3 linked regions of the Rattus norvegicus genome follow. The protein of the gene in region 3 binds, or shares a complex with, the protein of the main gene of each other region. Links are inferred from orthologs where the notes say so. Each region holds a gene or a part of one and is shown on either strand. Other genes may lie near its edges.

Region 1 (4,197 bases), on a different chromosome or scaffold from region 3:
CCAATTTCGGAGCGGTGAAGTATTTTGAAACGTGCACCTTAGCATTAGTGTAATAATTAGAAGCAGTGCTTCAGAAGAACATGCTTGTGTATTGCTTTCATGTGTGAAGTTTTATAGAAATTGTCCATAAAAATTTGTTTCCTTTTTCTTAGATACTGTTAAAGGCCCTCTAGAAGACTGTATGTCAGACATCAGGGTCCCTAGTTTTCTTAACAAAAATGTGTCACATTGCAGATAATTAAAAAATATATATATGACGGGCATGGTGGTGCACACCTTTAATCCTAATACTTGGGAAGCAGGGGCAGGCAGAGGTCTGTGAATTCGATGATAGCCTGGTCTACAAAGTGAGTTCCAGGACAGCCCAGGCTGTTATACACAGAAACCATGTATCGAAAAAACAAACAAAACCAAAACAACAACAAAACCCCGGAAACATAAGATATGGCCTAGGAAGTCCAATGTTTAAAAACTAACAATAAAAACAACAACAACAACCCACAAACAATGTTTTTAAAAAGGCTGGCTGTGAAGGTGAGAACATTCTATAACAAGAGTCTACACTTCTACGGAAGCACTAAGCACTACTACATTGTATGCATAATATAACCAATGTGGCTCCAAGGCACCTTGCAAAATGTCATATCAATGGGACAACTTTAATCAAACAACAGAAGCCCACTTATAACACCGACTTCCCAGAAATCAAGGTCTGTCATTTTGCTCAAACACCGGCAAGATGCTCTGCATCCTCCACCTTTGTCTACAGAAACTCTGACTTGGCCAGTCTGGAGAGGCTGTCCTTTCGAAGGAACACTAGGTTATCCTAATACACTCAATGGTGAGAGCCAGCGTATCTACAGGAGAGACCTAAACATGTGTTTTTACTTTTGTTTTCTTAAGATTATGTGTATGCATGCTCTGCCCGCCTTTATATGATCCCTGTCTTGGGCGCCGGGATCCCCTAGAACTTCAACTGCAAATAGTGCTGAGCCACCATTTAAGCGCCCGGAACCCAACCCAGGTACTCTTGGGATGAGGTCAGCATTGCTGTCAATGGCAACTTGCTCGGTCAGGAGCGGGAAGAGTCGAGCTCCGGAGCGCCTCCTGCCTGCCGTCAGGAAACTCGACCTGGGAGCCTCCCGGAACGACCCGCAGCGGCTGTGCGTGGAGCGGCTGGAGGAGGTCGTCCTCGGACGCTCGCGCCAAGAACGGAAGCGGAAGTGACATCACGCTAGCCTCCAGCGCTCCGTCCGCAGTGACCACCCTTCCTTCTCGGGGCCCGGCCGGAAGCGGAAGTTGCTAAGGGGTAGAGGGGAGTTGCCCGAGGAGTGTCAGGTTACGCTCCCGCTCTTGTCGGAGTTCCAGCCGCTGCGGTCCAAGCAGGTAAAGCGGGGCTCGGCGAACGCGCGCGACCCGAGGGGCGTGGTCCGCGGTCCCGGGGGTCCCGGCCCGGCCCTTCCCGCTTCCCTGTGTCCCCGCAGACACTTCGCCATGGGCAATACGAGCAGCGAGCGCGCCGCGCTGGAGCGGCAGGCTGGCCATAAGACGCCGCGGAGGGACAGCTCGGGGGGCACCAAGGATGGGGACAGGCCCAAGATCCTGATGGACAGCCCCGAAGACGCCGACATCTTCCACACCGAGGAAATGAAGGTGCTGAGTCGAGGGGCATCCGAGCCCTCTTGACTCAGGTTGAGGGCAGGGCCCCTTTGCTGTTGTTCCCGCCACATTCCTAGCCTCACACCTGGAGGGAGCTGGCCCTGTCACAGTCCACTTTGCTGCCCGGGAACCTGTCCCTAATTACCGATGGGAGAGCCACCCTGGGCTTCGTTGAACATCATTAAGGAGAAAGCAGCTCTGGGACCGAGTTTCAGATTCTTAATTAATTAAGAGTCGAGCTAGTTGTAATTGAACGCTAGTGTCTACTTTTCTCTTAGGTGTAATTGATTGCGCGGCTTCGCGACACTTTTTTCCCCCACAACTTCAGGCTGGCTGTTTTTTTGCAAAAGTTGGGTTGGGAGTTTTAGTGTTCGTTTTGAAGGTGCGAGGAGCACATATGTTAAGCTGAACGTGCAGTTGACTAGCTGACTTCTAGAGGTGCTTGGTTTTGATGGTTTCAGGCTATTCTGCTAACTCTATTTTAGATCCAGCAATTCCACTTGAGGTCAGTGGCCAAGAGTCTCTTTGAACAGCAGCCAGCAGCTAACTACCCCACTACTCTCCTGCTTTACTGACATAATGCCTTGGACTTTAAGCAGACCAGAGCAAACAATTCTTGCAGGCCAAGCAGAAAGTTCCTGCTTGAACCACATTCTCTTAAAACCACAGTGCTTCCGGCTATGGGGCCCAGTCCAAGGGCATTCAGTTGATTCTAGAAGAGAAAAGCTAATTCCTCAGAATAAACTGCATTCAGGAAGGTTGACGCTGACCAGCAGAGCCTCTGTTACCTGGCTTGTTGCCTACCAATCCCCATTACTAAAACAGGCTAATTGCCTGGCCACTCACTCTGTTTTTACTCCCCCACCTCCACCCACCCCCAGATTGGGCTGAGGACCCACGTTACTGTTTCTGCTTTTATGACACTTGTCTGTGATAGGAGCTTGTTTTCTGAGCTTGGTGTGTTAGGGGAAAGGTGCGTACAGTGATCTTTAGCATGTTTCCTGGGAGTTGATCTGTCCCCACCCCTAGAAGTCGTTTTGGCCCAAGGCTGTTTAAGAGGAAGTGAAAGGTATTTGTGTTGGGGCAGGTGTGTGTATATCCCTGGTGCCCTCTGCTCTCTTTCCAGTGAGCTGGATAAACTTACTTTTCTTTTTAAAAAGAAATGCGTGGTGTTGCTGTTCTCTACAGGGTCAGGGAAGATGGACGGGCTTACCCGACATCCTCTCTTTTCATCAGTAGTGACTGATGGGTCAAGTCAGATTCTTCCCATTACCCCAGTTCAACCTTGTAGCTACACTTAGTTGTCCTCCACAGCAGTGGTTGCCACCCTTCTGGAGTTCTAGGGGGTCGGCATAACAGACACACTGGGTACCTGATCTTTACATCGTGATCCTTGACAGTAGCTAAGTTACAGTTGTGAAGCTGGATCATCTTATGGTTGAGGTCAGTACTACATTGGGAAGGTTAAGCAGCACTGCCCTAGAGCAATTCTGGCATGTTATCTGATCTGTGTAGTTTAGATCCAAGGACTGCAGGGATCTTTTAGATAAGAGCAGATCAGTATCTGCGGTGGATAGAAGCTTCCTGGACTTCCTTCAGGGCTTTCCCCTACCAGAGAAGCCCAGTGTTTGGCTTTTCCTCTAACTGAGGAGTAGAAATGGTCTGTATGTAACTGCGTCTCGCCCCAGGATTGGATGTGTCCCTTTATCTCTGTCTGGAGTTAGTTACTCTGTCCTACTCACATCTTGCCATAGTGAAGGGACCAGTGTGTTTTATCTATCTAGTTCTCTATACCCCAGCTCTTCCCTCACCGTCTGATTGTGCCAGCTTTAACAGCTCTGCGGTTGCCCCTAGTAAATTCTTACGTACTTCTTGCTTAACAAGGGAAGTGGAGTGTATTAAGGTCACCTTGGACTCATGGTGGTCTTCTGAGGAGGCCTTGTAGCCACCTCTAGAGATTTTGTGAAGTCTGACTGCAGTAACAGTAGCAAATGGCTAAGCACCATGTGGGTCAGACTATCTCCGTCTTCACGATACCACAGAAGCGGTAGTTTTTATTATCTCCCTTTGACAGGTAGGGGACAGACACAAGTCATATGCCATGGGGATGAGCACCTCGGCCTGATCGGACTGCAGTGGTCTCTTAGGTTAACAGCCGGGGTGGGGAGCTCACTGCTGTCTGCCTGACCCTGAGTGAACGCCTCTGCCTCTTAGGCTCCAGAGAAGGAGGAGTTCCTGGCGTGGCAGCACGACCTCGAGGTGAATGAGAAAGCCCCCGCCCAGGCTCGGCCCACCGTATTTCGATGGACAGGGGGTGGAAAGGAGGTCTACTTGTCTGGATCCTTCAACAACTGGAGCAAATTGCCCCTCACTAGAAGGTACTGGCTTGCAACATGGTCTCTTGTCTTAGCTGTGTCTCTTGTCTTAGCGGTGGATGTGTTCTGGTTTCTAAATGATCTATGTCTGTGGGTGACCAGCGTGTGGGTATCTTTGTAAGACAGATGCTGAGTGAGGAAATACTTAATGAGTTAGAGAGTT
Region 2 (3,646 bases), on a different chromosome or scaffold from region 3:
CAGGGGTCAAAAATAATAATACTTACCTCTCAAGGTTACCGTAAAGATGAAATTCAGCAAGTTAATATTTTATATATGACCACACTCTTATTAAAGTCAGCTCTATTAGAAGTGAGGCTGAATCTCTTTGCTCTAGCTGCACATTTAAGAAATACGAGCAGCTTATAGGGAAACTACAGGGAGCACCCTGCATGTGCTTATGCCCAATCTCTGGGGATGAGACCACTCAATCTGAAGGCTCACCACTTCTCCAAGGAGTTCAGTGTGTAGACAGTCACAGAACTACACATTTATGTCAACAGCCAAGTCACAAAGACACTAAAGCAATGGAGAAACCAAGGGGTGGGAAATAGGAACCTCCAGTCAGGAATCCCTTCCTACGTAAGAGATGGAAACACCTGGGCAGACACAACTAGGACGCGGCCAGGCAGCTTGACGCCCCATTTTAAAAGGTAAAGTTTATGTCTCATTCAAGCATTTGTTGAAGGAAGCAGATGCTGAAGTTTGTTCTGCAGATGGGATCCAGCCACTATGAACTCAAGCTTAAGTAAAGAGATGAGACAAAGGGTCCAGCCACCCAAGGGAACTTAGAAGCAGAAAGGCCCCATGACTGACAGCTCAGCCCGAACACAGACCAGAGACTAAGGTTTAAACTCAACAGCCTTCGAGTCAGGAAGAGACAGCTCCCCTATACTCTCTCAGTGCCAGGCGCAGCTTTAAAAGCAGCAGCGAGTGAGTTACCACTGATGAGCTTGAGGGACCCTTACCCTTCCACTTGGGAGGCTGTGGAAGACCAGGGCTACCACTTACCTTAATGGACAGCGCATAGAGATGGTTCAGCATAACATGATTGGGCTCAGGAAGTAAGGCTGGGTCACACTAGGAGAAAAGACAACCCCCCAAATGTGACTAACGAAGAAAAACCAAACAGTGTACTCTCTAGACTGTTGAGAACTCTAAATAGGATCACTTTGTCTCCTACAAGTCATGCATTCCCAGACCAGAAAATCAAAAAATCCCTAGTCTAGGGCAGAAATGCTAAGCCCCAACATCTGCTAATTTTCTTTAAGAGAATTTAAAACGAAAACTTTGCTTAGAAATATAGATGGTTTGGGTTAAAGGGAAAAAAATCTTCCTAGGAACTATCAATTATCAACTAAGTGAAACCGTGGTTAAAAATATTTAATATAAAGTTGTGAATTTCTGTATATCCCCAATGAGAGTACCCCTTATTTTGGGTTATAATATAAGTCACAATACAGATCAATTCTAGCAGTTTGGTTCTGATTTAACCAGAAACAGAAACATCCATAAATTCTGCTACTGGTACCTAAAGAAGTTACAGTTCAATCTAGGAAAAGGAAGCCCCCATGCACAGATGCACACATGGTCTTATCACCGTAATTATGACACATCTTTGTCATAATTCTAGCCCAATGTTACTAATTCTGGCCTTGATGGTCCTAGAGATCCCCAGATGCTCTAGCAACCTGCTCAGTATACTCACTGAAATATTAGTGTCCTTGTTAAGAATAACTTGGAGGAGGTGAGGGGGCAGGATGGGTGGGGATTTGAATCTCTCCTCAGATCGAAACACATACATTTCTTGACCATAAGGCCCTGGGGGTGAGCTGGACAGGTCTGAAAAATATTTATGCAAATGTGAAGGAAAGTTGAAGGTTAGTGAGAATGCATGGGGAAGCTTGCATTGCGGCCACTAATCTTAAATGCAGTACAAGTCCTGGAACGCAAGAACCTGTGGCCTACTGGAACTGGCGCTGTCAGGCTGGAAAGGAAATCAACCTCCACATGGACCAGGAAGCTTTCCCACAAGGGAACATGATGTAAGGAAAAGCTGAGCGGTCAGGACCTAGGCTCAAGGAAACCAACCCATTTGTCAGCCATCTGACCTTGGACAGATCCCTTTGATATGGTCAGTGTGTTCATTCACAGATAAATATCTTCCTAACCTTCAATGCTTTAGGGGAAATAAAAGTGACAGTGGTTAAAATGGTGTTGTGGACTCAGTGTGAAAAGATTAGATTCCATATTTTTCCCTACCAAAGCCACAGACAACAATGTTACACACTATAAGTGTACAGTGATTGCAGTGGACAGAACAAATGCAGATGTAATCAAGAAAGTACAGATGTCCAACCATAATGTGACACACTTCATACTCACTGGGATGGCTGCCACTGAAATGGCAAATATTGGCAAAAATGTAGAGAAACTCGAAGCTTCAAACTACAGAACTCCCACTGTGGGCAGATATGTACAATAGTATAGACACTTTGGAAAACAGTATGGTTGTCTTCAAACTGTTAAACTTTGTAACCCAGTCATTCATTACAGTACATTACTGGATGTAACACCTAAGATAAAATGTAAGCCCACACAAAAGCCTGAGCATGAGTGTTCATAATCAATATTTATGATGGCTCCGAAGAGCAAGCAAAACCCAAATGTCTGTCAACAATGAATGGAGAACCACAAAGGGACTGTCATACCATGCACTTCTGCTCAGCCATAAACAGAGGCAAAGTACCGACACTTGTTTCAACAAGGACGAGCCCCGGAGCCTGCTAGAGTGAAAGAAGCCACACAGTGTCTGGTTACATTAGAGGAGGTGCCCGGAACAGGCAGATCAGGCAGCAGACTCTTGGTGACAGGCGCAGGGCCAGGAGGAAGGGATGGAGGCAGTCCATATTTTGAGGTGACAACAGTTCTAAAACTCGATATACTAAAAAAAGCATGGATAAATTGTACAATATAAAAAGATGTGTTTCGTGGTATCTGGATTATACTTTAAAAATGAAAAGGTTAAATCTATAAAATTAAATGAACTATGTTTTCACTGTTTTAACATTTTTACATTATAGCTCCAGAGAAAACATTCTAGTAATGGTTCACTTTAATAACTCAGATTTGCTTCAACATATAAGGTAGAACAATGCTGTGTTATTAAACAAAACCTCAAAAATAGACAGAACAGAGAACTTTTCCAGGAATTTTCAGTTGTTCTGGTCACTTTATCCACAAAGCACCATTGGGAGCTAACACAGGGCAATGTTCTCTCATCCTTTCTACTGAAAGGACAAGATGAATGGTGAAAAGTCACACACACGGCCACACTCACTACCTGCACGCCCCTAATTAACGTCTCCGCCTCACACCACTGGCTTAGGAAACCGAGTGACCTAAAGTGTGTGTCCTCCAGCTACACCTTCATGACTCATTGCCATACCCACTGGTTACTTGCAGATCATAAGATAATCACAGATCTAGTGGCCTCAGAAACCTTTTAAGACCACTGCCCCTCCCGCCAGTGAGGATGCTCAGGTTGACTTTCTGAGGTTATAACTAAATCTAAGTAGGTAGTTACTGTGCTGTGGACTATTTGTCCCCTGTCCTAGAGATTCTGCTATGGGGTCTGCCTCAGTTATTATGACTGAGGCTCACTGAGGGTCCAAGCCCGTGAGTTTACTGCTGGGAGCTGGAGTACAATGGCATGACTAGTAGCAGAGGCAGGCTTTGCAAACAAGGGCCTTGTCTCATTTTCTTTGCTCAGCGGATAAAGTGTGCAGCTCTCCAGGCAGGCACACCTCCCACCATACAGTAACAAGACAATGTGCCTCTGCTGTCG
Region 3 (3,646 bases):
CTGTTGCAACTTCCTAGGAAAGGTTTATAATTATTATAATTAGAGAGCTTCAATTCAACATAGTAAAACCAATCTTCTGAACCAAAACCCCAGCTGAATTACTTGCTGAAATGGTTTAAACAGAAATAGTAAAGCTAGTTTAAAGACAGGCACAAAACAGACAGACTGCAGCAGCCTTTCCAAGTATGCTTAGGCCAGAAAGTGTATGCTGATTTTAAAATGTACATTTTACCTTGCCTCTTACCAAGGACTAGTGTCTGATTTATGCATAAGTTATCAGATACTGCCCTAAAACTTACAGGTCTTTCCGAGATCAGTTCAGAAGCAGCACAAAGCTTTTAAAGCTGAGAACAAACGTTCACACACTTGTCTATTTACATTTATCAGGAAATACATCCAGTGTGTCAACAAGTTTTTCAAGGGAGTTTGGGACTCTTTCTCTTCCCATCATCACCCCTGTCCCAAAAAAACAAACAAACAAAACAAAAACCAAAAAAAAAAAAAAAACAAAAAAAACAAAAAACCCAACAGGTACCATTGCCTTAAGAGGAAAGGCATGTTGAATGGATCTGTCTTGATGTGGCTTTCTAATGTGTTTTCTAGAAACTTCAGCACTATTTAAGTGAATTTAAATAAACAAAATAGGTCAGTGTGAACTGCAATCAGTCCCTTTTTGTGGTAGAGGATTTGTGAGGGTGAATGGAAAGTTCTTAGTTCTGTAAGGCAGACACTGGTCCATTTTAGAGGTGCGACACAGCTCTGAGCAGCCCTGGAGTGGCATACCGAAGTCAGCTATCTTAGCATTCATCTGGGCGTCCAGCAACACGTTCTCTGGCTTCAGGTCCCTGTGGACAACCATGTGCCTGTGACAGTAGTCCACGGCAGACAGAATCTGCTGGAAGAGCCGGCGAGCTTCCACCTCTTCAACCTAGCGAGCAGAGGAGAAGCTGCATCAAGACTATCCGGGACATGAGTTATTATGCACTTCAGTTTGTAACCAGTCTGAAGACAACTGATCAGGCTAATTAAAATCGACGAATTAGAAATCCAACATGTCAGACAAAGCAAAGCAGCTAAAACCTTACCAAAGCTCAAAGAGTATTCTAAGGGATTTTTTTTGCTTGGCTGCATGACAATGATGTTTAATTTTCAACCAATATTAAATATGCACAATGTTTTGGGGAGTCAGTAAAACCAACTAAAACAGAACTTATATGAAAATTCTAAGAAAAGAAAATAACTGAAGCTTCAAGGTAACTTTATACAGAACAGATTGGGAAAAGCACAAGAATCACTTGGTGATTAAGTGCGATATAGTTTCACTACTCAAAAGGCAGAGTTCTCAAGAAAGGACATACGTCCTGCATGTGCAGTTGATGTTACAGAAACAATTAAAGCACTTAAAATATCTTTGTGATTAGCTATTAGCAATTCTTTCCACTGCCTTACGTTGGGGCTGAGAGATACACTAGAAAATATGTCACTCACCCTCCCGTGTTTACAGATGTAGTCGAACAATTCACCTCCAGACACATATTCCATTACCATAAAAAAGTCTGTTGGAGTGCTGATCACTTGGTAGCTTGTTCGGAAATAAAAAAAAAGAAAGAAAGAAAGAAAGAAAGAAAGAGAGAGAGCGAGAGAGAGAGAGAGAGAGAGCGCGAGCAGGTTAATACAAAATGGCGCTCCCACAAATAATCAACCTCATCTGCTACTGTTGTTACAACGTCGTACTCTAATGTTTGTATCATATTGCAGGACAGCAGCAGATTTTACAGTGTTATCAAACTAATTCCAGTGCCAAAGCATGGAAGGAGATTACAAAAGAAGTATCCCACTTCCTGAGACTTACAGACGATTCTCCTTACCTTTAAAATCTTCACAAACTAAGTTAAGCATGTTCCCATTTCAACAAACTTGTTTAGTCAATAAAGATAGGTATTATATGCTTAGAGTATTCTTAGACATATAAAAATATATCGCATATATATATATATTCAACAAAATTCAGTAGGTAGACAAATCATTCTTTCTTAAAGGTGGCTGGAGGGAGGAGCTACATACTGAATCAATCCAAGAAACACGAGGATGAAAAACTACACCACATAGACTTGCTTTGGCTCTGACTCAACCAACTTTAAAAACATTAACAAATCCAGTGCGTGGCACAGCTGCGTATTCCTGTATTCAGAAGTCTGCGGTAGAAGAAATCAATGACTTAGAAGTTACCCTGGGCTACACAGTAAAGGTTTGTCTCAAACATACACACACCGTGTAACAACAGGAAGTTGTCACGTACTACGGAAAACTGAACTCTGACTAGATTACTAATAAGACTCATTGTGTTTTTATTTTTAGATGTGATACTGACACTCCGCTTATGTCATTTAAAATGATACATTAGAAATACTTTGAATCTGCCTCAGATGTTCTAGTAAGAAAATGTGGAGGGAAGGAGATAAAGCAACACACTGCTGACCCTGAAGCTGAACTCCAGATACATGGGCTCATCACTTCAGTTTAGTACATGTTTAATAGTTTTACAATAAAAGTGTGTGTGTGTGTGTGTGTGTGTGTGTGTGTGTGTGTGCGCGCGTGAGCACGTGCACACACAAACACATATACATGTGTGCAGACACCTAAAGCTGGTCTTTGTCTTAGTCAGGGTTTCTATTCCTGAACAAACATCATGACCAAGAAGCAAGTTGGGGAGGAAAGGATTTTCTCAGCTTATTTCCACTAAAGGAAGTCAGGACTGGAACTCAAGCAGGGCAGGAAGCAAGAGTTGATGCAGAGGCCATGGAGGGATGTTTCTTAATGGCTTGCTCTCCTGGCTTGCTCAGCTTGCTCTCTTATAAAAACCCAAGCCCATCAGCCCAAGGACAGCACCACCCACAATGGGCTGGGTCCTCCCACCTTGACCAGTAATTAAGGAAATGCCTTACAGCTGGGTCTCATGGAGGCATTTCCACAACTGAGGCTCCTTTTCTGTGATAACTCCAGCTTGTGTCAAGTTGACACACAAACTAGCCAGTACAGTCTTATTAAACAAATAGTACGAAATCAGCTTAATTTTACAAAATAAGGTTTTTCTCTGAAAATTATTACTTTCTCATACAATCTTACAAAATCAGATTTTGAAAATGAGTTAAAAACAATACTGATGTTTTAAATGAAGATTGTTTCTAACATTTACACAAATGTATACTGTTCTACTTTAAAAAAACAACATTTATATCTGTATTTTTAAGACTTATTTATTATGTTTAAATATACAGTATTTATACATACAGTGTATGCCTGCTGGCATCTCATTACAGATGGTTGTGAGCCACCATGTGGTTGCTGGGACTTGAACTCAGAACCTCTGGAAGATCAGTCAGTGCTCTTAACCTCTGAGCCATCTCTCCAGCCCCCATCATTATTTTCTTTACAAAGGATTCTCTATAGTCTTGTTGATTATGAGTACTGTTAGTTTCATAATGAGCTATTATTTAAGGCTGATAAATACAGCAATAAAGAGGTTGCTGGCTTCAAGTTACTCAGGAGAATACCCAAGGAGCTGACACCAGTCTCCAGGCAATCCACCTTGATGGAGACTGTGTTAGAGTAGGAGCCCTTTGCTGTTTGTCAGCCAATGGGCCAC

Evidence for each region.
Region 1: the proteins of Prkaa2 (region 3) and Prkab1 are in contact, whole or in part, in a crystal structure (PDB 8BIK), measured with the Homo sapiens proteins. The link is inferred for Rattus norvegicus from reciprocal best matches to the Homo sapiens genes PRKAA2 and PRKAB1. Residues at the interface, in NP_006243.2 of Homo sapiens: Gly9, Val11, Lys12, Ile13, Thr21, Lys29, Lys31, Asn48, Arg49, Arg53, Asp56, Val58, Ile61, Lys62, Ile65, Gln66, Lys69, Val82, Ile83, Ser84, Thr85, Pro86, Thr87, Asp88, Phe89, Phe90, Met134, Met164, Ser165, Asp166; in NP_006244.2 of Homo sapiens: Pro79, Thr80, Val81, Arg83, Thr106, Ser108, Asn111, Val113, Ile115, Gln154, Val155, Asp159, Phe160, Glu161, Val162, Phe163, Ala165, Leu166, Asp169, Ser170, Lys172, Cys173, Pro186, Tyr187, His188, Gln189, Glu190, Pro191, Tyr192, Ala202.
Region 2: the proteins of Prkaa2 (region 3) and Prkab2 are in contact, whole or in part, in a crystal structure (PDB 6B2E), measured with the Homo sapiens proteins. The link is inferred for Rattus norvegicus from reciprocal best matches to the Homo sapiens genes PRKAA2 and PRKAB2. Residues at the interface, in NP_006243.2 of Homo sapiens: Gly9, Arg10, Val11, Lys12, Ile13, Thr21, Asn48, Arg49, Val58, Gln66, Gln81, Val82, Ile83, Ser84, Thr85, Pro86, Thr87, Asp88, Phe89, Met134, Met164, Ser165, Asp166, Gly167, Glu168, Phe169, Leu189, Ala191, Glu194, Pro253; in NP_005390.1 of Homo sapiens: Val60, Ser61, Gln64, Glu67, Asp68, Ser69, Thr73, Gln74, Ala76, Pro78, Thr79, Val80, Ile81, Arg82, Ile106, Ser108, Val113, Ile115, Val155, Ser158, Asp159, Phe160, Glu161, Phe163, Asp164, Lys167, Leu168, Gln191, Met193, Tyr194.

Annotation. Positions count from the first base shown.
Region 1 is NC_086030.1:46,247,726-46,251,922, forward strand, and holds the start of Prkab1 (5'-AMP-activated protein kinase subunit beta-1), read left to right. Parts: upstream 1-1,369; 5' UTR 1,370-1,494; coding exon 1,495-1,653; intron 1,654-3,873; coding exon 3,874-4,037; intron 4,038-4,197. UniProt on the Homo sapiens protein: Non-catalytic subunit of AMP-activated protein kinase (AMPK), an energy sensor protein kinase that plays a key role in regulating cellular energy metabolism.
Region 2 is NC_086020.1:187,952,371-187,956,016, reverse strand, and holds part of Prkab2 (5'-AMP-activated protein kinase subunit beta-2), read right to left. Parts: intron 1,642-3,646; coding exon 1,508-1,641; intron 880-1,507; coding exon 811-879; intron 1-810. UniProt on the Homo sapiens protein: Non-catalytic subunit of AMP-activated protein kinase (AMPK), an energy sensor protein kinase that plays a key role in regulating cellular energy metabolism.
Region 3 is NC_086023.1:125,060,412-125,064,057, forward strand, and holds part of Prkaa2 (5'-AMP-activated protein kinase catalytic subunit alpha-2), read right to left. Parts: intron 1,583-3,646; coding exon 1,489-1,582; intron 929-1,488; coding exon 784-928; intron 1-783. UniProt on the Homo sapiens protein: Catalytic subunit of AMP-activated protein kinase (AMPK), an energy sensor protein kinase that plays a key role in regulating cellular energy metabolism.